Linked DNA regions of Macaca mulatta. The protein of the gene in region 3 binds, or shares a complex with, the protein of the main gene of each other region. Links are inferred from orthologs where the notes say so. Each region holds a gene or a part of one and is shown on either strand. Other genes may lie near its edges.

Region 1 (3,500 bases), on a different chromosome or scaffold from region 3:
CTCTTCCCATGACCCCCCCACATAAGCCCCCATATTTAAAAAAAAAAAAAAAAGCTTTTTCTAAATCTACAAAAAATAGCAACAATTTCACTTGTTTAAAGAAAAGCAAATTTTTTCTTTAAAAATTTCATAAAACTTTTAAATAAAACTTTTCATAAAAATTCAAACGGTTTTTAGTATACTAATAAAAGTTTTTGAGATCAATTCTCTCTGAATATCCATTAATTGATATTTGCTGCTGAATATTTTTAAACAATTCCGTTAAAAAAAACTTACCTCTGGATGAAAAAATATTTCAGGTCCCAAAAATCTCTCATAACCAACATCGATAGAAAATTCTTTCTTTGAGATAGCATTGATTCCAGTATACTGTTTAATCCATTTTGACCCATCTGTATCATACTTGTTAAATTCTTTTACTAAATCTGGGCAGACATAACTATAACGCTCCTGAAAAACAAATAAACAAAAGTAACTTTTTTTGCCTATTACAGGAACAGTAAAAAAGAATGGCATGTTTTCAGTAAACTAGAATCAAATAAAAAAAAAAAAACTTCTTCAGAAAATAAAATTAGGAAATTAAGCTGGGAGTAAAATTTATGTTAGGATGTTATCATATGTGTAGTACAAATAAACATACTCATCTCCTACACATATTTTCTGACTTTAAATATAAATAATATTTGAGAGATTGGAGAGCTGATTTCTACTACTTCAGTGTTATTTCCTGAAAATGTTCATTAATGTCATTCAACATTTTCTGTCTCAGTAATAATGAATCTCGTGCTCTACGTAAGGAGAATAAATAAAATATAGAACTGAGGAATAAGTAATAATTATGATAACCACACAAATTAATTAGATCCTTAATATCTGAAACAAAACTGATTACAGTCTGAGTAAATAAATGAGCAAAGAAAGAACGCTAAAAATATAAATTACTCCATTTTGTTGCATATTTGGTTATATGACACCTAAGTAAAAGTTTTATCAAAAACATTGAAAAATATATTATAGATTATAACATCATATTTGTAATTTATAAACTCCCAACTGCCAGCCTATATATATATATTTTTAAAAAGCCTTCCTTTTCCAGTATTTTTATACATCACAGGCTCCATCCGAGATAGTTGCAAATATTACTAGTAATAATCAAAATACACAAAGAGAAAAAATACTGGAAACGAAAGACATTTGATTCACTATTTGAGGTCTTCTCCAAACCTTAGAAGTGGGAATGACAAGAAATGATACTCCTTTAAAGACATTCAGACTGACCATCAATCTTCTCTGGAATAGATTTAAATCTCTGGTGTTTTCTCATTTTGCTTTAATTTTACAGATTTCCCAAAGATGTTGAATCAGTAGTATTCACATTAACTTTTTATATATTTAATTCTTATGCCACCAACTTGGGGTAACTTTTGGCAGTCCTTTACTAATTTACTACCTAGGAAGTAGTTGATAAATTTTCATTCTTAAGCTCTGACGAGCAAGGAAAATCCCATAAACATGCAAAGAGGCCCAGGCATGGTGGCTCACAGCCAGCACTTTGAGATTCTGAGGCAGGAGGATTGCTTAAGGTCAGGAGTTCACGAACAGCCTGGGCAACATAACAAGACCTCCATCTCTACAAAAACTTAGCCAGACATGGTGATATGCACCTGCAGTTCTAGCTACTCAGGAGGCTGAGGCAGGAGGATCACGTGAGCCCAGAAGTTTGAGGCTGCAGTGAGCCATGATTGTGCCACTGCACTCTAGCTTGGATAGCAGAACAAGATCCCATCTCTATAAAAAATAAATCAATAAAAATAAGAAATAAAAAATTTAAAAATGTATAAGTGAAAAAAAAAACCATGCAAAGAGAGACAAATAAGTAAAAGTTACTTTTGCCAGGGCAGTTTTACTTTTCAAAACATGTGAGACCCACTGAAATTTTTTGGTTATGTGGCAAATAGTAAGTTTGAAAGATGATGTTAAAGTATTTTGATAGTTTGCATGAAGCATTGATATAATACTTACATGGCAGAAAAAATTTAAAAAATACTTTAGATAGCCTTAATGTTTTTCTATGTGCCCTATCACTTGAGTTAACACTGCCTCTATACTATAGCACAATGAATCAATTATATCAAAATAATTTTTATGACAAAAGCTTTTAAAATTAAAATAAAGAATTCAGTGAAGAAATTGAGATGCAAGCACTTTACAGTGAAATAATTATTTTTAATAAAGAGAATCACAAAAATTTATGGAGAGGTCATTTGGTAAAATGTTCTTATATATTACTCCTCTCAAATATAAAATATGAAGAAAATAGACAAACTTGTAATAATAATTTTCTTGCAAGAAATACAGAGAAAATGTAAATATACTTAAGAGTAATAATTTATAACTGGTTAACAAGATTATTTTAAGTACTGTTCTTCAATTAAAAATTTCTCATGTTAATGTTATAAATGTGATTTTAATTTTTAACTAAATTACACTTCTATCTCACTTTTTACCTTTACTGCCTTAGCAGTTTCCAAGGATTGTTCTGGAGGGATTCCTACTTCTCGGTCTCTCAGCAGTTGCTGAATAAAATATGTTATATCTCGTCCTGCGATTGGAATGTGTTTAATACAGCTGCCAATCACATACCCTTCAGCCTAGAGGGGGGAAAAAGATTTCAAATTTACTTTCAATGCTTTGAAAATTAATATAACCTAAAAATATGAACCATTAAAGACCAATTTATCAAGTTAGTGTATTCATATTCTCAAGTACTGTTTTATCCCAGAATTCACCTTTATTCATCAGAAACAATAACTAAGAATGGCCAGCAACTTGAGATTTATTTTCCCATTGACAATTTATAACTATGACTAAAATAACAACACAGAAACAGTAAATTTCAAAATAGAAATATCAAATGGTTTAGATAGCAGACTTTATATCAGATAGTACTATTTTAAAATCATTTATAATTTCAGTAATTATAATTTAGAATGTGTCATAAGAAATTTGACAAAGTGCCTATCATTTTTCTAATGAAGTATGTATCCATTTCACAAACCTGAAGCTTTCCACACACCACCATAATGTCAAATAACTAAATTCTGTAGAACTGATTCACAAATTCACTGATGTGTCAGAAGTATAACAAATAGTGTGGCAAAATTAAATTTCATTAGGAAAGAATATTAAGGATGCCTTCAGCGGCCATGACAGAATATTAGGGACTGAACTCACCCTCTCAACTTAAATAAAGGACACTTTATAAGAAATAAAGGTTTTCAGACATTTGACAATTGGCAGAGTAGGGCAGAGATACTTTCTAAGAAAAGGGAAACAAATAAAGTGAATGTTACAAACACTCTATCCTACTGCCTAGGGAAAGTTACTAGGCCACAACAACGAGAAAGAGAACTAAAACAGAACTGGTCTCATTAAGTTAGGGATATAGAATTTAAAGGTCAGAAAGGCAAAAGTGGCTAAAGTTTGTAGGCCAAATT
Region 2 (4,235 bases), on a different chromosome or scaffold from region 3:
ACACTTTGGGAGGCCGAGGCTGACAGATCACAAGGCCAAAAGATAGAGACCATCCAGACCAACATGGTGAAACCCCATCTCTACTAAAAATACAAAAATTAGCCGGGTGTGGTAGCACATGCCTGTATTCCCAGCTACTTGGGAGGCTGAGGCACGAGAATTACCTGAACACAGGAGGCAGAGGTTGCAGTGAGCCGAGATCGCACCACTGCACTTCAGCCTGGTACAGAGCGAGACTCCATCTCAAACAAACCAACCAACCAACCAACCCAGGGTGAATCCAGGGTGCTCTATGTGCAACTGGAGCCAGTACAGGGCTTTAGAGTCCTTTTTTTTTGGAGACAGAGTCTCCTCTCACCCAGGCTGGAGTACAGTGGCATGATCACAGCTCACTGCAGCCTCAAACTCCTGGCTCCAGGTGATCCTCCCACCTCAGCCTCTTGAGAGGCTGGGAGGAGATGCACTACCACATCCAGTTAATTTATTCTTATTTTTGTAGAGGCAGGGTCTCATTATGTTGCCCAGGTTGGTCTCAAACTCCTGGGCTCAAGTGATCCTCCCATCTTGGCCTCCTAAAGTGTTGGGATTACAGGCATAAGCCACTGTACCCAGCCTAGAGTCCTGGCTTAAAATCTGGTTTTACCATTAGTAGGCAACTTTGTCCAAATTAACTTCTCTGAGGTTCCGTTTCCTCTTCTGTAAAATAGGAATCATGGTACCTACTTCACAGGGTCATTATGAGGATTAGATGGGATAATTTATAAAGTGTGTACCCCAGAGCTCAGGAGTCAAATGGTAATTACGGAATTCATAAAATATGTATTTGTGAGGCTGAATGAGGTGGCTCACGCCTGTAATCCCAACACTCAGGGAGGTCGAGGCAGGAGGACTGCTTGAGCCCAGAAGTTTGAGACCAGCCTGGGCAACATGGTGAGACCCTGTCTCTACTGAAAATAGAAAAACTTAGCTGGGCGTGGTGATGTACACCTGTAGTCTCAGCTGCTCAGGAGGCTGAGGTGGGAGGATCACCTGAGCCAAGTTTGTGTCACTGCACTGCAGTCTCAGAGACGGGGTGTAACCCTGTCTCAAAAAAAAAAAAAAAAAAAAATCTATCTATATATATCTATATATATATGTATTTGCAACTATGGCTTGCTCCTTTTCATCACAAGTATACTTTATGTAAAGCACCCTCTGCCTTCCCTTTCACCAAACTGTCTTGTTACCTATCTAGTTTCTTTTTTTTGGAGTGGGGGGGTCAGAGTCTCACTCTGTGGCCAGGCTGGAGTGCAGTGGCACAGTCTTGGCTCACTGCAACCTCCACCTCCTGGGTTCAAGCGATTCTCCTGCCTCAGCCTCCCAAGTAGCTGGGATTACAGGCACGCGCCACTACGCCCAGCTAATTTTTTTATTTTTAGTAGAGATGGAGTTTCACCATGTTGGCCAGGCTGGTCTTGAACTCCTGACCTCGTGATCCATCCGCCTAGGCCTCCCAAAGTGCTGGGATTACAGGCGTGAGCCACCGCGCCTGGCCATCCATCTAGCTTCTTTATAGCATTTGTCACTACCTGACACTACTGTATGTATCTCCTTTATGTTTACACTTTTATTGTCTCGTCTCCCGATTTGAACGTACACTGTTTAAGATTAGGGATTTGTTGAACTTATTTGCTGCTGTAAATAGAGCCTGGCAGGCAGTAGGTGCTCGGTAACGTTTGTTAAAAATAATGTGTGAGCAGGCTGGGCGCGGTGGCTCATGTCTATAATCCCATCACTTTGGGAGGCCGAGGGGGCGGATCACCTGAGGTCTGGAGTTCCAGCCCAGCCCAGCCAACATGGTGAAACCCCCGTCCCTACTAAAATGCAAAAAATTAGCTGGGCGTGGTGGCGCGCGCCTGTAATCCCAGCTACCCAGGAGGCTGAGGCACGAGGACTGCTTGAACCAAGGTGGCGGAGGTTGTAGTGAGCCGAGATCGCCTCACTGCACTCCAGCCTGGACGACAGAACGAGACTCTCTCAAAAAACAAAAAAAGTGTGAACAATCACACAATAACCGAACCACCTTTTCCCGAATCTGCAAAATGGAGACCATGATGGTGATAAATCTAGCCCACAGACTGCCTGTCAGAAATTAAGTACAACCAGACCGTCATAGATTTTTACTCCCACTCTGATGCACACGAAAAAGGAAATCTTTGGAAGTCAGGCGCCGACCGAGTCTGTGAGGGCCCTATACCCAGGTGGCTCCGGGGTGGCCGCCGCTGCCGGGAAGTGGGTTCTGACAAATGACAAACAGCAGAGGGAGCCTGCCCCCCGGGGCGGAGGAGGAAGTGGGCCTCACAGAAAAAGGAGAAGCTAGACCCTGGACTTGAAATATGAAAAATAAAAAGGGCAACCCTTGGCTTCGCGCTGTAGTGACGCTTTGGGAACCCTGCCGGAGCCGGAAGGAGTAGACGGAGAGAGAGAGAAGAGGGCCTCCTCACACACCCTGGACCCCTGGACCCCGGGCCCACTCCTGCCGCGCCCCCGCCTCCCACGACTGGCACCCGCGGGCTGTCCCAATTCTTCAGCGACCGGTCCCCTCCCCTCGCCTCACTCCTTCTCGGGCCCCCGCTTCCTCTCTGCCTTCCGCCGCCCGCTTCTCTCGGCACACACAAGGTTTCTCCCCGCTTTTCGCAATCCCCGCTGTCTCCCCACACCATGGATCGAACCCTCACCGGCATCTTGGCAGCACCCGGGTTCCAACCCAGAGGAGCAGAATCCAGGTAGAGCAGAGCGCTTCCGGTCTTGCAGCCCGGGCGGGGTAGGCGGAAGCGAAACGGAAGGGGCGGGGTGATGACGTGAGCTTCCGGCTTTGTAGTTCCGCCTCTGGTTGCAGCGGCCGCGCGGATCTGAAAGGGGGCGCCAGAGCGCTAGGTAGGGGCCCTCAGAGTGGCGCAGCGTGAGGCGCGCGCAGAATGGAGATGGGTCTTGAGGTTCCAGAATCTTCGATCAATCACCTCTTTTGTGTTTTTTTCAAATTTCACCTTTTCAGGGCCGGGCATAGTGGCTCATGCCTGTAATCCCAGCACTTTGGGAGGCCGAGGCGGGTGGATTACCTGAAGTCAGGAGTCCGAGACCAGCCTGGATGGTGAAATCTCGTCTCTACTAAAAATACAAAACTTAGCTGGGCGTGGTAGCATCCCAGCTACTCGGGAGGCTGAGGCAGAATAATCGCTTGAACCTGGGAGGCGGAGTTTGCGGTGAGCCAAGATCGTGCCGCTGCACTCTAGCCTGGGTGAGAGTGTGACTCTATCTTAAACAAACAAACAAAACACCTTTCCTGTGAAGCCGCCTCTGGTCATTCTGTTTTCAATTCACCCGACTCCAGCCCCATGCCTTATCCTTCTCTCCCGCTTTTTCCCTTAGTTCTTATGATTCTTGTATTTAGTTTACTCTTAGTGCTTGTCTCCCTATCCTTGTAAATGCCAGACAGCACTTCGCCCGTTTTGTCCCCTGGCGCCTGTAACAGTGATGGTATGTAGGAAACATCAGTATTTGAGTAAATGAATGAACCCAATGCACTGCATCTAAAAATGGAGAAACTGAAGGGCACTGGAATCTGAATCGCAGCTTCAATACATACTAGCTCTATAATTTTGAGCAAGTTAACTTGCCTCTGTACTTCAGTTCCTCACCTGAAAATGGTTGTAACAATATTTACCTCATAATTTTGTGACGATGAAATGAATTACATGTAAAATGCTTAGAACTTACATGCTTGGAGCATACCGAAAGCCCAGGAGTTTTTAACCTATTTATTACTAGAAAACTTACGTTAAAAGTCAAGTTCATTGCTACCTGAGAGCCATTTCTTCTGCCAGTTCGCAGCCTGGAATAGAGCCCCATGTTCCCACATCTGATTTCGCATTCAGGTGACTGGGCAAATAGCACCTTTTAGGCAAGGTCTTTTTTGACAAAGAGCCCAAAGTAGCCCCATAGTCACTCTCCATTTCTTTTCTGCTTTCTGTTCTTTCCATCCTCTCTCCGAGGTTCAGTCTCACAGCCCAGCATGACAGCCCCACGTGAGCAAAGCGCTGCCTGCACTGTGAGTCCCTGTTCTATCCCCAGTACCTGGCATCCATAGAACTTCAGTAAATTTGTGTAAAGAATCATGTCAGCCCTGCCTATGAGACAGTGAAATCCTCGAGGACTGGAATTGTCAGATTCATCTTTGAAACCCTAGTGTCCAGTGG
Region 3 (3,500 bases):
GGCCCAGAGAGGAGAGGATGGACTCCCCAGGGGTCATGGGAACAGGGGTCCCGACATCCCATTTGGTGCTTCCCGGGGAAACTCTAGTCCTGCCCCCAGGTCCCTACCAGCCCACTCCAGCCCCGCCCAGGTACCCACCAGTCGTTCTCCTGCTCGAAATAACAGATGGAGATGACACGGGAGCCGCTGCCCACAGCAAACTTGTTCTCATTGGGGGCCCAGCGCACGCAGCGGGCGGCCCGGTTGATCCGCAGGATGACCAGAGTGGGCTTCCACGTGCGGCCCTTCAGCGTCCACACGTAGGCATTGCGGTCTGTGCCGCAGGTCACAATACGGTTACTCTCGGGGGCCCAGTCGATGCCTGTGGGGGGATGGAGGGGACACAGGAGGCTGACGACACTCAGGCAGGGGTGGCTCTATGGTGGCCACACAGGAGAGGCTGAAAGGCCACAATCAAGGTGGAAGCTTTATCTGCCCAGTAGGCACTTTTTTTTTTTCTCTTTGAAATGGAGTCTCACTCTGTCACCCAGGCTGGAATGCAGTGGCATGAGCTCGGCTCATTGCAACCTCTGCCTCCCAGGTTCAAGCAATCCTTGTGCCTCAGCCTCCTGAGTAGCTGGGACTACAGGTGTGTACCACCAATCTTTCTCTTTTTTTTTGACATGGCGTCTCATTCAGCCGCCCAGGCTGGCGTGCAGTGGCGTGATCTCAGCTTACTGCAACCACCATCTCCCGGGTTCAAGCGATTCTCACATCTCAGCCGCCCAAGTAGCTGGGATTACAGGCACCCACCATCATGTCTGGCTAATTTTTGTATTTTAGTAGAGATGGGGTTTCACCATGTTGACCAGGCTGGTCTTGAACTCCTGACCTCAGGTGATCCGCCTGCCTCAGCCTCACAAAGTGCTGGGATTACAGGTGTGAGCCTCCGCACCCAGCCTCTTTCTTTCTTTCTTTCTTTGTTTTTATTGAGACACAGTTTTGCTGTGTCGCCCAGGATGGAGTGCAGTGGTGTGAACTCAGCTGACTTCAACCTCTGCCTCCTGGGTTCAAGCGATTCTCCTGCCTCAGCCTCTGGAGTATCTGGGACTACAGGTGTGTGCCACCACACCAGGCTAACTTTTGTATTTTTCAACATTTTGTCATGTTGGCCAGGATGGTCTCGAACTCCTGAACTCAAGCGATCCACTCTCCTTGGCTTCCCAAAGTGCTGGGATTACAGGCATGAGCCACCACACCCGGCCCAGCAAGCACTTTTTACTGAGATCCAGTGCTTATTTAGAGTGACACCAGGGGGCACTCCTAGAGCTTATGAGGGAGTGTCAGAGCCCTCCATGCTATCAGTAAACATGCTGGAGGGCAAAGCCAAGAGGCAGAAAAGATGGGTTCTTGGTCATGTGGAGCTGCTGGATCAAGCCTCTCCTGAAGCCCTCAACCCTCTTGGGTTTTTTGGTAACATGAGGCAACACAGTCCCCTTAAAATTGAAGCCAGTTTGAATCAGGGTTTCACAGTGAGTGGGTAGATGCCCCATAATGAGTGGCCATGTCCTGCCTTGCACCCCACCCCCCACCTCCTTTCAGGAGGGTAGTCCCAGCCACCCTGACATACCTGTCACCTGCCCGTTGTGTTCCTTGAGCTCGTGCACCTTGGTCCATTTGGCACCGCTCTTTTCGTAGATGTGCACCTCATGGTTGTTGGGGCAGATGGCAATCTCTGCAGGGGAGATGGAGGGAGACTGAGGGGCCCTCTCCATGACTGCCCTCTGCCAGGACACACTACACAGTGCACCTGGGCAACAGCCTCATCCTTCATGACTCAGGCTCTCCTCCTCTGCCTTGGAGGGGGCCCCCTGAAGTCCTTCAGGCCCTGCCAGTTCACCCTCTCTTCTCCTGGGACTGACTGTCCTTTACTCGCAGCAATGACCCCTGGGACCTCTCCCCACCCTATCGCTCTGGCCAGCCAGGGTCCCCTCGCTGCTCCTGCTGACACCTCAGGGCCCCTGCACCTGCCAGCCCCTCCCCAGCTGGGGCAGAGTTCCCTCCCTCTCCTCCTCTGGGTGTCTGTGTAAATGTCAAAATGTCATCTCCTCCAAAAGGCTTTTCCTGGCCACTTTTTCTTTCTTTTTTTTTTTTTTTTTTTGAGACAGAGTCTTGCTTTGTCACCCAGGCTGGAGTGCAGTGGTGCAATCTCGGCTCACTGCGACCTCCGCCTCCCGGGTTCAAGTGATTCTCCTGCCTCAGCCTCCCCAGTAGCTGGGTTTACGGGCGCATGCCTCCACGCCCAGCTAATTTTTGCATTTTTAGTAGAGACAAGGTTTCACCATGTTGGCCAGGCTGGTCTGGAACTCCTGACCTCAAGTGATCCACCCACCTCAGCCTCCCAAAGTGCTGGGATTACAGGCGTGAGCCACTGCACCTGGCCCATTCCCTCCTTAAACTTTAACCCAGGAGACCCCTGGTCAGCTGGAAGACCCAGGGGTGAGGCCCGGGGACAGCCGCATGGAGCCTATGGTCCGGGGGCCTGGCTGCTCCAGTCTCCCCATCCCAGGAGGTAGAAGCAGCCACCCACCGACCCCCAGCAAGCACTCACGGCTGCGGTCCTTGTTCCAGGCGTGGCAGCTGATGGGCTCCACCAGGAAGCTGTGGTAGGCCATGGCGGCTTGGCTCCTGTGCCCAAGAAAGGAAGAGAGAATCCACGTCAGCCCTGACCTTGCCCCTGACTTTACCCGGATACCAGGCCCCAGCTGATCCTCAAGGGCCTCACACCAGGGAGGCCCCTCAGTCTAGAGAGGCAGCTGTTTGCAGAGACGAGCAGCAGGGGCCAGCCCTGGCTCCTAACTGGCCTGACATGTTGCTTCCCCTCCTGGGGCCTCAGTTTCCCTCCTTATAAAAGGGCAGCTTTCACGGGATATCTCTGAGGCTCCAGAGACAGAGTGGAGGAGATAGTACTACAGGGGAGATGCTCCCTGGGGCGGGGTGGGGTGCTAGGACTCCAAGCCGGACAGGCCCCTCACTTGTCACCTGTGCCTCAGTTTCCTCACAGGATGGACCCCCCCCAACTTCCCTGCCCCATTAAGGATGGGATGAAGATGAAGTCATCCAGGCCAGGCCTGGTGGCTCATGTTTGTAATCCCAGCACCTTGGGAGATCGAGGTGGGTGGATCACTTGCAGCCAGGAGTTCAAGACCAGCCTGGCCAACATGGTGAAACCCTGTCTTTACTAAAAATACAAAAAATTAGCCGGGTGTGGTGGCGGGCACCTGTAGTCCCAGCTACTCGGGAGGCTGAGGCAGGAGAATGGTGTGAACTCGGGAGGCGGGGCTTGCAGTAAGCCAAGATCGCACCACTGCACTCCAGCCTGGGCCACAAAGCAGACTCCATCTCAAAAAAAAAAAAAAAAAAAAAAAATTAGCCAGGTGTCGTGGCACCTGCCTGTAATACGCACTACTCAGGAGGCTCGGTGACACGGTAAGACTCATCTCAGGAAAAAAAAAAAAAAA
Region 4 (2,941 bases), on a different chromosome or scaffold from region 3:
CAGCCTGGACAACATGGTGAAATCCTGTCTCCACAAAAATTAAAAAAGTAGCCAGCTGTGATGGTGCACGCCTGTGGTCCCAGCTACTTGGGGGGCTGAGGTGGGAGGATTGCTTGAGCCCAGGAGGATGAGCCTGCAGTGAGGCAAGACTGCACCACTGCACTCCAGGCTGGGAATCACAGAGTACTGGGCTAGGCGCGGTGGCTCACGCTTGTAATCCCAACCCTTTGGGAAGCTGAGGTGGGCGGATCACGAGGTCAGGAGTTCAAGACCAGCCTGGCCAAAATGGTGAAACCCTGACTCTACTAAAAATACAAATAAATTAGCCAGGCTTAGTGGCGCAAGCCTGTAGTCCCAGCTGCTGTGGAGGCTGAGGCAAGAGAATTTGCTTGAATCCAGGAGGCAGAGGTTGTAGTAAGCTAAGATTGTGCCTCTGCACTCCAGCCTGTGCTCCAAGAGCGAAACTCCATCTCAAAAAACAACAAAACAACAAAACAAACACCAATAGTACTGGGGTGCTGGCAAATACACTGGCTGTTAGGGAGGCTTATGATCTCAAGACTTTTAGTTCAACTGGTACAAAACACAGCAGATGGGAGGCCGAGGTGGGCGGATTGACTGAGATCACGAGTTTGAGACCAGCCCAGGCAACATGGTGAAACCCCATCTCCACTAAAATACAAAAAATTAGCCGGGCGTGGCGGCGTGCACCTGTAGTCCCAGCTACCTGGGAGGTGGAGGTTACAGTGAGCTGAGATTGCGCCACTACACTCCAGCCTGGGCGACGGAATGAGACTCTGTCTCCCCCAACTCCCCCCACCAAAAAAACAACAAACAAAACAAAAAAACAGCAGATGAACACTATTACCTTATCTTAAGGACAGGATTGCCTGAATTTCATCAGAAGAAGAACCAAGGTCTGGACTACACTACAGCCTGGGCGACAGAATGAGACTTTGTCTCCCCCAACTACCCCCACCAAACAAACGAACAAACAAACGAACAAAACAAAAAAACAGCAGATGAACACCATTACTGTATCTTAAGGACAGGACTGCCTGAATTTCATCAGAAGTAGAACCAAGGTCTGGACTACACTACAGCCTGGGCGACAGAATGAGACTTTGTCTCCCCCAACTACCCCCACCAAACAAACGAACAAACAAACGAACAAAACAAAAAAACAGCAGATGAACACCATTACTGTATCTTAAGGACAGGACTGCCTGAATTTCATCAGAAGAACCAAGGTCTGGCACCTTTCACAGAGATGGAACTCTCTAGGCTCTAGGCCATGCTCGTCTTTCCTGCATGCAGAGCCACACCCCTATTTAGGGCTCTCCTCAAAAAAAAAAAAAAAAAAAATTTTTTTTTTTTTTTTTTTTTTTTTGAGACGAAGTCTCACTGTTGCTCAGGCTGGCGTGCAGTGGCACAATCTCAGCTCATTGCAACCTCTGTCTCCTGGGCTCAAGCAATTCTCTGCCTCAGCCTCCCGAGTAGCTGGGATTACAGGCGCCTGCCACCACGACCGGCTAATTTTTTTTGTATTTTTAGTAAAGATGTGGTTTCACCATCTTGGCCAGGCTAGGCCTGAACTCCTGACCTCGTGATCCACCTGCCTCAGCCTCCCAAAGTGCTGGAATTACAGGCGTGAGCCACTGTGCCCATCAGGGCTCTCCTCAATTCTATCCTTGATAAAGAGAACTTTCCTCTGCATGCAAACTTCCCGCTGAGAGTACACCAGGGAAAGAACGCTTAGTGGGCGGCGTCAGGACTATTTACCCAAGTAAAGGTCCCTAAGCAACTTCTTCCATCTCTCCAGAAAGAACACCAGAAGCACAAGACTGACCTCGTAACTCAGGCCCAAAAACAACAGTCTCTTGGTAAACTTTGTTTATTTCCTAGCTGCCATTCTCAGAGTTCACAAAGATATGGAAACAAGGAAACCCATCTGGGCCTATACAGCACTGAAAACCTGGAATCCCACCTTTGTTTTATCTACTTAGCCCTGCTGGCCTCACATGTAGCCAGTGCCCAGACACATGGAGGACCAGGCCACCAGCACCCACTGCTTCCTTCTCGGTGACTCAGGAGAGGAAGGTGGTCCTGCTGGAGTGCTGCCTAACTTACGTGATTGTTTTCATTTCTTTTTTCTCAGCATCTGGGCGTGCGCGGTTCAGCACCTTGAGGAAGTCAGATGTTTTTGCCCGCATACGTGTGTGAATATAGGCCTGGGAACAAACATAACAGGTACTGAAGCACAGTCACGGTCTAGAAAGACAGCTTTGCTTTCATCAGAGGCGTTTGGGAACATACACCCTGGGACTGACCCAGGCCCTGCAGCAAAGCAGGAAGGTGAGCAATTCTGGAAACAAATATTCATCTCTGCTACGGGGAGGGGTGGGGGACAGTGGCTTGATGAAGAAAGACCATGGTTTCTTGAAGCCTCTAGAATTATCTACCTAAGAGTCAATATCCACAGCCTAGACTAACAGAATGACTTTTTGTCATGAGTTCTGGTGGAGGAAAAGACCCAGAGCATAGCGGCTGAGATGCTGGCACCCCCCTCACCTTAGAGCACTTGATGTGGTAGTGCAGGTAGTCCCGGAATGTGTGGATCAGGTTGATGGTGTTGTCTCGAGCGCTGGCATTGGTGTGACGAGGGAACAGCACTGAAGGTGGAAGACACAAGGTGTTAGGACCCAACACGAATGCCAAAGGGTGGGGAAGAACAACAGCCTAGTGAACTTCACTCCCTCTCTGCTGAAGTACCCTCCACTTGTGTCAATATTACCAGGCTTTGTCAGGGTTTTTTCTTGACATGGAAGGATAAACAGCATGGCCAGGAAAGGTGTCAATGAGCGTGAACGGAGGAGCCCATGATGAAAAACAGGGCTTGACGCTAGGCCTTCATTCTAGTCCTGGATTCTGCAGCTGTGCA
Region 5 (3,500 bases), on a different chromosome or scaffold from region 3:
AACCTTGAATAACAAGAAGATTGAACCACACAGGTCCACTTATACACAATTTTTGTCAATAAATCTTTCCTGCCTCCCCTTCCCTCCTCCACCTCTTCTGTCTCTGCCACCCGAGACTGCAAGACCAACCCCTCCTCTTCTTTGTCAGCGTGAAGACAATGAGGATGAAGATCTTTATGATGATCGACATCCATTTAAGGTATAGCAAATGTATTTTCTCTTCCTTATGATTTTCTTAATAGCATTTCCTCTAACTTACTTTATTATAAGAATATAGTATATAATACATAGTATGTTATCAGTAAGGCTTCTGGTCAACAGTAGGCTATTAGAAGTATTTTTGGGGGCAGTTAAGTTTGCACAAGAGTAGGGAGGGTTGGTGCCCCTAACCCCTGCATTGCTCAAGGGTCAACTGGATCGCTTACCTTCTAACAAACCATTTAATTAACTCTGTAACTGCTTATTGTATTAGCCTTTTCAATCTCCTTCTGCTGGCTCCTCCATAAAAACTTAATTAAATTAACTCACTAAATTAAAAACTTAAATTTTTTTGGCCTGTTTTTCCCTGTTAGAATATAGACACTCCATGGCAGTAGGATTTTTTGTTTACTGATCTATTCTTCTTTCCTATTTAGAATAACAACTAGCATATAGTAGATACTTAGTAAGATCTGAAGGAAAACAATTATTTTTATTCTCTTTATCCACAGCAACAGTAAAAAAAAAAACTTTTTTTTTATTTAACATAATATCACAGAAATACACATATGCATATCCTGCATAAAAACTCACCTCTACAATCTTCTCTCTGTTTTTGGTTGGGTTCATAGGAGGTTCTGTGAGTAAGATTTTACAATTTCTGGTATCTATATTAAGTTTCTCTGGTCCAAATGTGTAGTCCCACAGGTGTTTCATGTCATCCCAATTTCGTACTATGCCATTTTCCATAGGGTAGTTAACTTCTAACATTGATCGTAATTCACTTGCCTCATCTCCAACCATAAGATCCTAGAAAATTATGTCAAAGCTGTAGATCAAAGTTTTGCATATTTGCATATTTTAAGAAAACTGGGGAATAATTAATTTTAATCTTTCTGGCACTTGCAAAATAAAGCTTTTTATTCCACAAGTTAGAAAATCTTTTCTATCAAGAACAATGTCTTAGAAAGTTTAATCATGGATAATAAATTTTTATGTACAATGTGGTTTAAATCAATAAATTGACCTTACCTTTAACATAAATGTTTCCAAAAGAAGAGCATTAGCACAAATAAACCCCACATTTTCATATTTTGGAGGGTTTTGTATGAGGTTTCATCTGTTTCTTTTGCTCAATTGTTCAAAAAATAAGGCCTGTGATATGTGAAATAGTACATCAGGGGGAAAAAAACTTGTAGAAAAATGCTCAATGCATGCAGCACAATTCTTTGCACTAAATATCAAAATGATAAATGTAAGTACTATAAAGCATAATGAAAGAAGCAAAAAATAAAATGATTCTTTATTACTCTATAATAATGCATACATACACCAACGAACTTATAAATGGCACAAACTTCTATCTACATATGCCTGAATTAGAATTTAAACTGTTTCTACATATGCCTCACCAAGGTGAATGAAAATCTGTAGAGTTATAAAAAAATTAAGATATAGGCAAACAACCTATCCTTTAAAATCATCTCCTGAGCAACACTTTCAAGTTTAAAGTACAATATTGGAAAACTACACCATCACACATGAAGCATAATACTCACAAGTCTTGTCTCCAATGAGAGCATACTTAAGATGATCCACATTTGAAAGTCACATTTTGTATACATAATAAGGCTAAGGACGTCCTAGCATTTAGATTTATTTTTAGAAAACAGCTAGTCAACATGTTAAATAATATTAATTTCTACATATGTTGATAAATTCAATAAAACACAACTAGTATCAGAAGCAGATACTTGCTACAATACATTAAGTTTTAATTATGGAGAGACAAAAAAAAAAAGCAGCAGCAAAATTAACACAAGATTATTTTTCTGAGACTGAGTCTCGCTCTATTGCCTAGGCTAGAGTGCAGTGGCGTGATCTCAGCTCACTACAACCTCCTCCTCCCAGGTCCAAGCGATTCTCCTGCCTCAGCCTCCCGAGTAGCTGGGATTACAGGCACCTGCCACCACGCCTGGCTAATTTTTGTATTTTTAGTAGAGATGGGGTTTCACCATGTTGGCCAGGCTGGTCTCAAACTCCTGACCTCAAGTGATTCACCCATCTCAGCCTCCCAAAGTGTTGGGATTACAGGCATGAGTCACCGCGCCTGGCCAACATGAGATGTTTTAAAATGAAGGCTTAAAAATACATGTTTTTTTTTTTTTAAAAAAGGCAGGGCGCGGTGGCTCAAGCCTGTAATCCCAGCACTTTGGGAGGCCAAGACGGGCGGATCACGAGGTCAAGAGATCGAGACCATCCTGGCTAACACGGTGAAACCCCGTCTCTACTAAAAAAATACAAAAAACTAGCCGGGCGAGGTGGCGGGCACCTGTAGTCCCAGCTACTCAGGAGGCTGAGGCAGGAGAATGGCGTGAACCCGGGAGGCGGAGCTTGCAGTGAGCTGAGATCCGGCCACTGTACTCCAGCCTGGGTGACAGAGCGAGACTCCGTCTCAAAAAAAAAAAAAAAAAAAAAAAAAAAAAAAAAAAAAAAAAAAAATCAGAGATGAAACCAAGATGAGGACTCTAACAAAAAAACAAACAGATCTCTGGAAAATCCACTAAAAGCAACATCAAAAACTACAACAAAGTTAAAAACAGATGCTAGAAATGTTCAATAAAAATGTCTGTTGCAATTTCTGATGAAGTTAATTTAACATAACTTACTAACTTATTACTCAAAGTTCTGAAATATTAAATGTTTAGACTCTTTTTTTTTTAGATTGGGTCTCACTCTGTCACCCAAGCTGAAGTGCAGTGGTGCCATTATGGCTCACCACAGCCTCAACTTCCGCAGGCTCAGGTGATCCTCCCACCTCAGCCTCCCACGTAGCTGGGACTACAGGTTACATGCCCAGCCAATTCTTGTAGTTTTAGGGGTTTCACCATGTTTCCCAGGCTGGTCTTGAACTCCTGGGCTCAGGAGATCAGCCCACCTCAGCCTCCCAAAGTGCTAGGATTACAGGCATGACTCACCACGCCCAACCAACTGTTTAGATTCTTCTATGAGGAATATGCAAAACAGAAAATCTGTATTTGTGAATTCTAGTTAATAACATGCACATGTTGAAGTATACTGGTATCTGCAACTTACTTTGAAATCCATTAAAAAACAAGATGCAATGATGAATGAATAGATGAACAGATATGTAATAAATCAATATGATATATATTAATGTCAGAATCTAGGTGATGGATATACAAGTTTCATTGTAAAATCATTTCAGTATTGCTATGTTTTCTTAATACTGCTTAATAAAATGTTAGGAGTGAAATCTATACCTGTAATTATATATACTA
Region 6 (4,180 bases), on a different chromosome or scaffold from region 3:
GCCTCCCTGAAATCACCTATCATTCATGAAGCCGGCTGTCACACTTGGCTGGCTTTAGACCTTTTCAGAGAATAGGCTGTGGTGCTGGGGGAACCCTGCCCAGCCCTTGATCTCTAGATCTTCCTCAATCACGGCACAACTGACACTGTGGACCCACGATTCTCTGACGTGGGATCTCAGCTGTGGGTCATAGGCCTCTGCCCACTGGATTCCAGTGGCATCCCCAAGCTGTAACTATCAAAATGTTTCTAATTTCCTGAGGTGGAGAGGAGGGGTGCAAAATCGCTCAAAACCACTGCTCTGGCCAGAGCCCTGATCCAGAAGTCTAGAAGCTGCTTCACTGAGGGGAAAGGAACTCATACTTTTAAATCGCCACAAGGTCTCGGATCCTGTGCCTGGTGCTTTCACATGCCATCTCATTCCAAAAATCCCAGTAACAACAATCATTATCTCATTTGAAAGGCAATGGAATTGAGGCTCAGAGAACGGAAATTACCTGCACAGGGTCACAAAACTAAGCTGTCTAGATGGCCCTGGCACCCAAGCTCCTCCCACAATCCCGTGCTGCCGCTCTAGCTGCAGACCTGAGCAGACACTTGCTGTGTGCCCCGTGATGCTGATGTTAGCCCATGAGGCTCCCACAGAACCTAGGAAGCCAGCACGGCTGTCTGCCACGTCACAGAGGAGAATGCTGAGTTGTGAAAGGGTATGTGACCTATCCGAGGTCAGAGCCAGAGCATGATGGCGCGCGGTGTGCGAAGATGCACAGCCGAGTTCCTTCTACCCCATCTGCGTGATCTCCCGCCACACACACTTCCCTATATAGCCCCAGGACAGGGTTCCTCTCTGCCCTCCCCAACCCCAATCCCTCTATCCCTCTCCCTGCTCCCCTGTCCTCAATGGTCTAAGTCCAATTCTTGGCACATGATAGAGACCCAATAAATATCAGTTCCATTCTCCTCCCTACCTGGGTCCGGTATTTGCCAGGGTTTCAGTTCTCTTTATCCGCTAACCTCCCTTTCCCCAACCCCAGGTGGAACACTCTCCATGGTAACAAGGTTTCTGCCGCTGCCATGAATGGAGAAACGACCATCCCCGGGATGTGCTAAACCCAGGCCTCTAAGCAGCCTCAAGGAACCTGTCACCAGGCAGGGGAATCCCAAGACATGACCTTCAACAAGGCTCTGCACCCAGACCAAGGCAGCAGCTGACAGGCCTGACCTCCTCATCTGTTCAATGAGGGTCCTGGGCCAAAGGCCTGACCTTGGAGCCCCCTTCAGCACTGACTCTCCATAAGCCAGGCCCTGCACCTGACTACAACCAACCTTCCCTCCTGGGGACCCTTCCCTTGACCCCATTTCATAACTAGGGTGGACTGGGAGATCCTGATGGGGCAGGAATGACAAGCTTGAATCTCCACTTCCGAAAACACATTCCTGTTCAAACCAAGTCTGAAGGTTTTCGTTTTAAAGGCACACTGAGGAGCACTGCCGGGCTCCCCCTAAAGCAGCAGGCCCCACTTTCCAAGCTGAGTCAACTGGTTCAACACCGAGAACCTGATTTATGTACAGCATGGGCCTCCAACCCTGCCCCCGCCCGTGCGGGGGGAGGGGACAGGCTTCCTGGAACACCATTTGAATAAAGAAAAATCCTTCCGGTGAGAATAAGTCAGTTTCCTGCGCTCATACTGCTAAAGGACCAAGCAAGGCTGTGACAATCACCTCTATTTTTAATCTTTTCTAAATGCTGTTTTCTGTGGCCACAAGAACAGTCATTTCCAGGCGTGGGGCTCTACTTTCACACTTCACTTCAAGGTGTCTGGTTTTTCTTAGCTCTGAACTACTAGTTCTTTCCGCTGCTTCCTGCACCAGAAGGGTACTGGGGGGAGCCAAGACTCACTTGCTGAGCGTAGCTGAGACCACCAAGGTGACCAGAGGAACCACAGGGTTTCCCTTTCTCAGCATTAAGCGGGAGGGTTAGACTGACTGGGGGAGGGGAGGCACAACCTTAGACCCCAGGGCTGAAATAGGGCGGCCGCCTCCACTCCCTCCTGGGTCCTGTCTTCCCCACAGCGGTCCACCCACCTATCTTCACGCCCTGCGGCAATCTGGCCCCGGAAGACCGCGCCCCAGCCTCACCGATCACTCGGTTACTCAGATACGGCTCACCTCCGCCCTGCCGCCGACCCAGCCCCGCCATAGGCCCGATTTCCTGCAAGGGAGGGACGGAGTGCTGGGGCCCCCAGAAAGGGACAGCGTGAGGGGACGAGGAGGCAAGAGGGGAAGAGAGCCCGGGGCGCGGGACCTGCGGGGCTACCGAGGGAGCCCGTCCACCGGGTCCAAGGGCCTGCGGGGCTGCGCTGCACAAGAAGGGGCCAGGGCTGGGGAGGAAGGACCCAGGGAGACCAGGACTCAGGGGAGCACGGCCCAGGGGAGTCAGGTCGGCAGGGAGTTGAAGGCTGACCTGAGGGGGCCGGGGGTCGGAGACAGCAGAGGCCCGCCCGAAGGGGCCCGAGAAGGTGGGAAGGCCGCGCGCAGGCCCGGACGCCGCGTCAGGAAAGGATATTGCCGCAGGAGCCCGTCCACCTCGCTCGGGTCCGGGCCTGGCTCCGCCGCCGCCGCCGCCGCCTCCTCCTGCTCGTCCACAAATTTGTTCTCATCAAATTCGTCGATGTCCACCCGGCGGAAGCGCGAGGACAGCGTGTTCCGGGCCATGGCGGGAGCTCGGCGCCCGCTCAGCCGGCTCCACTCGCGGCCCGACCTCAGCTCTGCTCCACTCGCACCGGCTCCGGCTCGGGGGCGGGAAGCGGCCACCGGGCTGCTCCCAGCACCTCCTCCACCGCCTCCGCGCGCAGCCGCCGCCGCCCGCCCACTTCCGGCACACGCCGGATCCGGAAGCGTCATCGGGGCGGGGCGGAACCTGTCCCGTGGAGTGCGCTATGGGGTTTCCGCGGCCTCTCCGACCTCAGTCTCTCTTCCGCGGAGCCTCTGTCTTACCACTGAGGAGTGGCCGCCCGGTATCCTTGCAGGCCCCGCATAGTGTGTGCCGTAATCGCGCTGGTGATCCGGCTTTCCCGCGCCTCCGAAGAACCCCTGGCCTCAGCGGGGCCCGGCGCGGGCTTCCGGGGTGATCCTTGCCTGTACGGGGGAAGACTGGGCGCCCGGGAGAAGGCTCGGGGCTCTACTTCTCGGGTGCTGGGCAGGCTTCTTGGAGAAGAAACCTTCGAGCTGATGACTGAGGGATGAGTAGGAGTTCCTGTGCCCGGGGAGTGACGCGGGAGGGGTCTGTGTCTTGGAATCTTGAACGCCGCCACACTTAGCACGAGGAGGTCTCCTTTACACAGAGGTGACCCTGTTAAAGGAGTGGGAGGCTTTAAAGACGTTTAGTGCGATCAGAGGGCTGACAAGGCGTTGAAGACATTGTGACTCGAGGGATTTTGCGGCCCCACGTGTGTAGCAGTCACCTTGACCAGGCAGTTGGGGCCCCAGGAGAGGGAGATGGCCCTGTGGCCACCGTCCTGGCAGGAGAGGCCTGGCTTGAGAGGCACATCTTGATAGAAACCAAATTCTCAGAATCTGAGATGCGGGAAAGCGGGTTAGGGAAGTCAAGGACGACTCTGAGGTGTCAGATTTGGTGCCTGGGCTGTTACCCCAGGGGTTCTGTTAATTGATCTTAGCCTTAGGGTAAGTAAAATGGGTCTTTTATATAATACTATGAAAACTGTTTTCATCTAATAGTACCCTTGTTAATAAAAGTTGGAATGTGATTCATTTTTACTGCTTCGAATACTTCTCATTGAACTGTGTCTAAAGATCAAAAAACTATTGCCAGACTATGATGCAACCTAATCTTCCGTGGTAACCAGGATACAGACTCCCATAGTGGGAAACTGGCGCTAAAGAAAAGTCTCCGCCTGTAATCCCAGCACTGCGGGAGCCGAGGCGAGCGGATCACCTGAGGTCAGAAGTTTAAGATCAACCTGAGCAAAATGCTGAAACCCCGTCTCTACTAAAAATACAAAATTAGCCGGGTGTGGTGGCGCAGGCCTGTAATCCCAGCTACTCGAGAGGCTGAGGCAGGAGAATCGCTTGAAACTGGGAGGTGGAGGTTGCAGGGAGCCGAGATCGCGCCATTGCACTCCAGCCTGAGCGACAAGAGCAAAACTCGGTCTCAAAAAAAA
Region 7 (3,500 bases), on a different chromosome or scaffold from region 3:
TAGTTCTTTTTGATAGTGTATGAGGGATAAAGTGACTTGACCAAGGCTAAACAACAAGTTTACTATGTACTTTTCTCTTATGTGTGTGTTTTCATTCGGATACACTTCAAACACTTAATATTTTTATGGCTGGTTCTATTTACATGTTATCCAGTTTTTTACCCAAAGCTCAAAATCCCTTGTACTCTTTTGACAGATGATGTACCAGCATCTACTTACATTGCAAAATATATGCATGAAAATAGAAAAAAATGATTTAAGAATTCTTGATCCTCCAAACCCCTAATTCTTTAAAAAAAAGTTGTAAAATATCTAACACAAAATTTGCCATTTTAACCATCTTTAAGCGTAAAATCCATTGGCATTAATTACATTTACAATGTATTGTAGCCATCACCACTATCTGTTTCCATAACTTTTTTACCACTCCAAGCAGGAACTCTGTACCCATTAAGCACTAACTCCCTATTCCTTACTTTTCCTACTTCCTGGTAACCTCTAAGGACTTTCTGTCCCTTTGTCTTTGCCTATCTTAGATTATTTTATATAAGTAAAATTATAAAATATTAGTTCTTTTGTATTTGGCTTATTTCACTTGGTATGTTTTCAAGGTTTACTCATGTTATAGTATGTGTCAGAATGTCATTCCTTTTTATGGTTGAATCATATTCCATTGTATGTATGTACTACAATTTACCTGTTCATCTGTTGATGATCCTTGTGTTGTTTTCACCCTTTGGTCACTGTGAAAGAATTCTTGATTTATACTGCTTATTTTCTTTTACAAAGTTTTGATTTAATTTAGAGTTCAAGATTATGTTTAATTACTAATAATCGTTGCTGAATAAACACAAGTGTTGGAATTAGAATCTCTTAAGACCAAGGCTAGTAAACATAAATATGAACTATCATTTTCATGCATTTTATTTGTAATAAAAAAATGTACAACCAAGTCAAAATGGTTATTCAGGTGAGAGAGGTCGTCACTGTCATCCCCTATTGTAAAAGAACCAGTTATGTAGATTTATAATTCATAATTTACCTTTTCATGCCATTGCAGTAACACAGCACTGCTATTGTCAGAGGGGCTCTCAAATCCTTTATAAATATACTTCATTAGGAGATCCACACCATTCTTGTCCAGAGATTGAACTGCCTTTTCAATATCATTAGCTTTAAAAGAGATGAGCACCTTCAAGACAATGCTGCCTGCCCGGTCCTGGTGAGTAAATAAATAACAGAACATTTAGACGTATCTGTATGAGGATGGTTTAGAATTTCAGAAAGGCCACACTAAGAAGGTGACATTTGAGTAAGGACCTGAAGGACGTGAAAGAGGAAGGCCTGGGATAACTGAGGAAAGTGTTTCAGACAGAGGAAAGAACACACTATTAGTGTGTGTTCAGTGTGTTCTAGGAATAGGAAAAAAACCCAATGTGGTTGGAGTGGACTGGTGGGAGAAAAGCAGGTGAGCAAGTCAGAGGTTATGGGAGGACAGATCGTGTAAGGCCTCCAGGCATTGTAAGGAGTTTGGCTTTTACTGAGAGAAATAAGAAGACATTGGAAGGTTTTAAGAGCAGTGCCATAATCTGACTCACATTTTAACAGGATCGCTTTGGCATCTACGTTACAGAGAATAAGCAGTGGGGGTAGGGGATAAGGCAGAAGCAGGGAGAGCAATTAGGAGGTAATTGCAGTAATACAGGCCGGATGTGGTGAGCACAGTAGCAGTGGAAGTGGTTAAAAACTAGACAGACTATTGACATAATTGAAGGCAGAGCCAAGAGGATTTGCTAACAGATCAATGTGATAATTTAACAATTTATTAAAACAACATTTAAATTTTATGTCTTGATCTTAAAAACAAAATTCCAACAAAACAGCCGGGTGTGGTGGCTCACAGCTGTAATCCCAGCACATCGAGAGGCCGAGATGGGCAGATCACCTGACGTCAGGAGTTCAAGACCAGCCTGGCCAAAATGGTAAAATCCTGTTTCTGCTAAAAATACAGAAATTATCCGGGCATAGTGGCAGGTGCCTGTGATCCCAGCTACTCGGGAGGCTGAGGCATGAGGATCGCTTAAATCCGGGAGGCGGAGAGTGCAGTGAGCAGAGATTGCGCCATTGCACTCCAACCTGGGCAACAGAGTGAGACTCCGTCTCAAAAAAAAAAAAAAAAAAAAAGAAACCCCACAAAACAAGGAAGCAGATTTGCATTTCTACCTTGAATTATTCTTCAGAAGTAATTTTTTCTTAAAAACTTTCTTTTAAAATTTTTAAACAAAGCTGTCTTAAAAGAAAATTGTAATTTATATGAATTGACTGTAGATACGAAATATAGTGATGTTCATTAATAATGATCTTTTTTCTTTAGCAAAAGCCTGCTTCAAAAGCAGTTATTTTCTTACCCATTCAAGCAAGCAAAGGGAACACTTAACTGACCTTTTCAACAATTCGTTTCTTCTTCCATTCAACACAAAGGGCTACCTCCAGCATTCCTACTGGTCAGGATTTCACACAATGTTTCTACTACCTATTGTTATCTTTGGTTTAAAGACTATGCAATCACCAGATTTAGAAAACATATCTTTGCATCCAGGGTAAAAATGAAATTTCAACGACATTCTTTACAACTTGTAAAAACCAAAGCAATTTTTCCCCGATAAAAAATTATGTTACCTAGATAATTATTACACATTTACCTAAGTTATTACTTACTACTACTCAATTGAGATTCTTGAAGCTCCTAGGATGTACGAATAGTTATGGACAATGAGGTTGATGCTATGGGCATCATTTTAAATAAATACTTAAATAGGCTAAGAACTACTAAAAGACTGCAGAGAATGTAAGTTGCACAACCATTCTGAAGGGCAATTTGGCAATACTACATGTACCAAAAGCCTTAAAAAAGTGCGTTCTTTGATCCAGTAATTCACTGCTAGCAATTTATTCAAAGAGAACAATTAAAAATTTACCAAAAAATATTCATTTCAGTGGTTCACAATAGGAAAAGTCAGTCTAAATATATAACAAAAGATTAGTTATGTATACACTGCAGCTTATCCATATACAACTGTTAAAAATGCTATAGAAATAAACTTATTACGAAGGAAATCTCTTGTACATTGCATACAGCCGAAAAAGCAGGTTATAAAATTTCATTCTTAAAAAACAAAAGGGAACTCTAACAATATAGCAAGGCCCCAAAGTAGTAACTGTTATCTCTGGGTAGTGGGACTATAAATGACTATCTTTTTAACCTTCCCATATGTCTGAGCTTTCTATAATAAATATTTAGTATTTGTACAGTTTTAAAAAATCTTTAAAAAGCAATTACAATCTGTTTATTTTTGTAAAGGTTTAACTTATTTTTCAAACCTTTGTTCAAATTCAGCCTGAGTGGTCTCCTCTAAAAACACACACAAATGATTTCACTATTTGAATTCACTGCATCTTACCATGCAGCATTATCATAACTACATTACAGGGCTATTTTT

Evidence for each region.
Region 1: ARPC1B (region 3) and ACTR3 share a complex: the UniProt entries of both Homo sapiens proteins name them as parts of the arp2/3 complex. The link is inferred for Macaca mulatta from reciprocal best matches to the Homo sapiens genes ARPC1B and ACTR3.
Region 2: ARPC1B (region 3) and ARPC3 share a complex: the UniProt entries of both Homo sapiens proteins name them as parts of the arp2/3 complex. The link is inferred for Macaca mulatta from reciprocal best matches to the Homo sapiens genes ARPC1B and ARPC3.
Region 4: ARPC1B (region 3) and ARPC2 share a complex: the UniProt entries of both Homo sapiens proteins name them as parts of the arp2/3 complex. The link is inferred for Macaca mulatta from reciprocal best matches to the Homo sapiens genes ARPC1B and ARPC2.
Region 5: ARPC1B (region 3) and ACTR2 share a complex: the UniProt entries of both Homo sapiens proteins name them as parts of the arp2/3 complex. The link is inferred for Macaca mulatta from reciprocal best matches to the Homo sapiens genes ARPC1B and ACTR2.
Region 6: the proteins of ARPC1B (region 3) and ARPC5L are in contact, whole or in part, in a cryo-EM structure (PDB 6YW6), measured with the Homo sapiens proteins. The link is inferred for Macaca mulatta from reciprocal best matches to the Homo sapiens genes ARPC1B and ARPC5L. Residues at the interface, in NP_005711.1 of Homo sapiens: Arg118, Lys138, Arg142, Phe164, Ser201, Gly203, Trp204, His222, Asp223, Ser224, Thr225, Leu240, Ala241, Ser242, Glu243, Thr244, Leu245, Pro246, Phe281; in NP_112240.1 of Homo sapiens: Asn21, Lys22, Arg102, Gly139, Leu140, Gly141, Ile144, Arg145, Thr148, Arg150, Lys151.
Region 7: ARPC1B (region 3) and ARPC5 share a complex: the UniProt entries of both Homo sapiens proteins name them as parts of the arp2/3 complex. The link is inferred for Macaca mulatta from reciprocal best matches to the Homo sapiens genes ARPC1B and ARPC5.

Annotation. Positions count from the first base shown.
Region 1 is NC_133417.1:23,658,994-23,662,493, forward strand, and holds part of ACTR3 (actin-related protein 3), read right to left. Parts: intron 2,655-3,500; coding exon 2,511-2,654; intron 451-2,510; coding exon 277-450; intron 1-276. UniProt on the Homo sapiens protein: ATP-binding component of the Arp2/3 complex, a multiprotein complex that mediates actin polymerization upon stimulation by nucleation-promoting factor (NPF).
Region 2 is NC_133416.1:117,616,724-117,620,958, forward strand, and holds the start of ARPC3 (actin-related protein 2/3 complex subunit 3), read right to left. Parts: upstream 2,801-4,235; 5' UTR 2,724-2,800; coding exon 2,718-2,723; intron 1-2,717. UniProt on the Homo sapiens protein: Component of the Arp2/3 complex, a multiprotein complex that mediates actin polymerization upon stimulation by nucleation-promoting factor (NPF).
Region 3 is NC_133408.1:46,617,962-46,621,461, reverse strand, and holds part of ARPC1B (actin-related protein 2/3 complex subunit 1B), read right to left. Parts: intron 2,668-3,500; 5' UTR 2,655-2,667; coding exon 2,591-2,654; exon of another isoform or gene 2,566-2,590; intron 1,764-2,565; exon of another isoform or gene 1,755-1,763; coding exon of another isoform or gene 1,715-1,754; coding exon 1,610-1,714; intron 362-1,609; coding exon 139-361; intron 1-138. UniProt on the Homo sapiens protein: Component of the Arp2/3 complex, a multiprotein complex that mediates actin polymerization upon stimulation by nucleation-promoting factor (NPF).
Region 4 is NC_133417.1:123,461,737-123,464,677, reverse strand, and holds part of ARPC2 (actin-related protein 2/3 complex subunit 2), read right to left. Parts: intron 2,673-2,941; coding exon 2,572-2,672; intron 2,232-2,571; coding exon 2,131-2,231; intron 1-2,130. UniProt on the Homo sapiens protein: Actin-binding component of the Arp2/3 complex, a multiprotein complex that mediates actin polymerization upon stimulation by nucleation-promoting factor (NPF).
Region 5 is NC_133418.1:59,453,955-59,457,454, forward strand, and holds part of ACTR2 (actin-related protein 2), read right to left. Parts: intron 1,009-3,500; coding exon 793-1,008; intron 1-792. UniProt on the Homo sapiens protein: ATP-binding component of the Arp2/3 complex, a multiprotein complex that mediates actin polymerization upon stimulation by nucleation-promoting factor (NPF).
Region 6 is NC_133420.1:22,905,296-22,909,475, forward strand, and holds the start of ARPC5L (actin-related protein 2/3 complex subunit 5-like protein), read right to left. Parts: upstream 2,801-4,180; 5' UTR 2,715-2,800; coding exon 2,565-2,714; intron 1-2,564. UniProt on the Homo sapiens protein: May function as component of the Arp2/3 complex which is involved in regulation of actin polymerization and together with an activating nucleation-promoting factor (NPF) mediates the formation of branched actin networks.
Region 7 is NC_133406.1:41,104,621-41,108,120, forward strand, and holds part of ARPC5 (actin-related protein 2/3 complex subunit 5), read right to left. Parts: intron 1,220-3,500; coding exon 1,043-1,219; intron 1-1,042. UniProt on the Homo sapiens protein: Component of the Arp2/3 complex, a multiprotein complex that mediates actin polymerization upon stimulation by nucleation-promoting factor (NPF).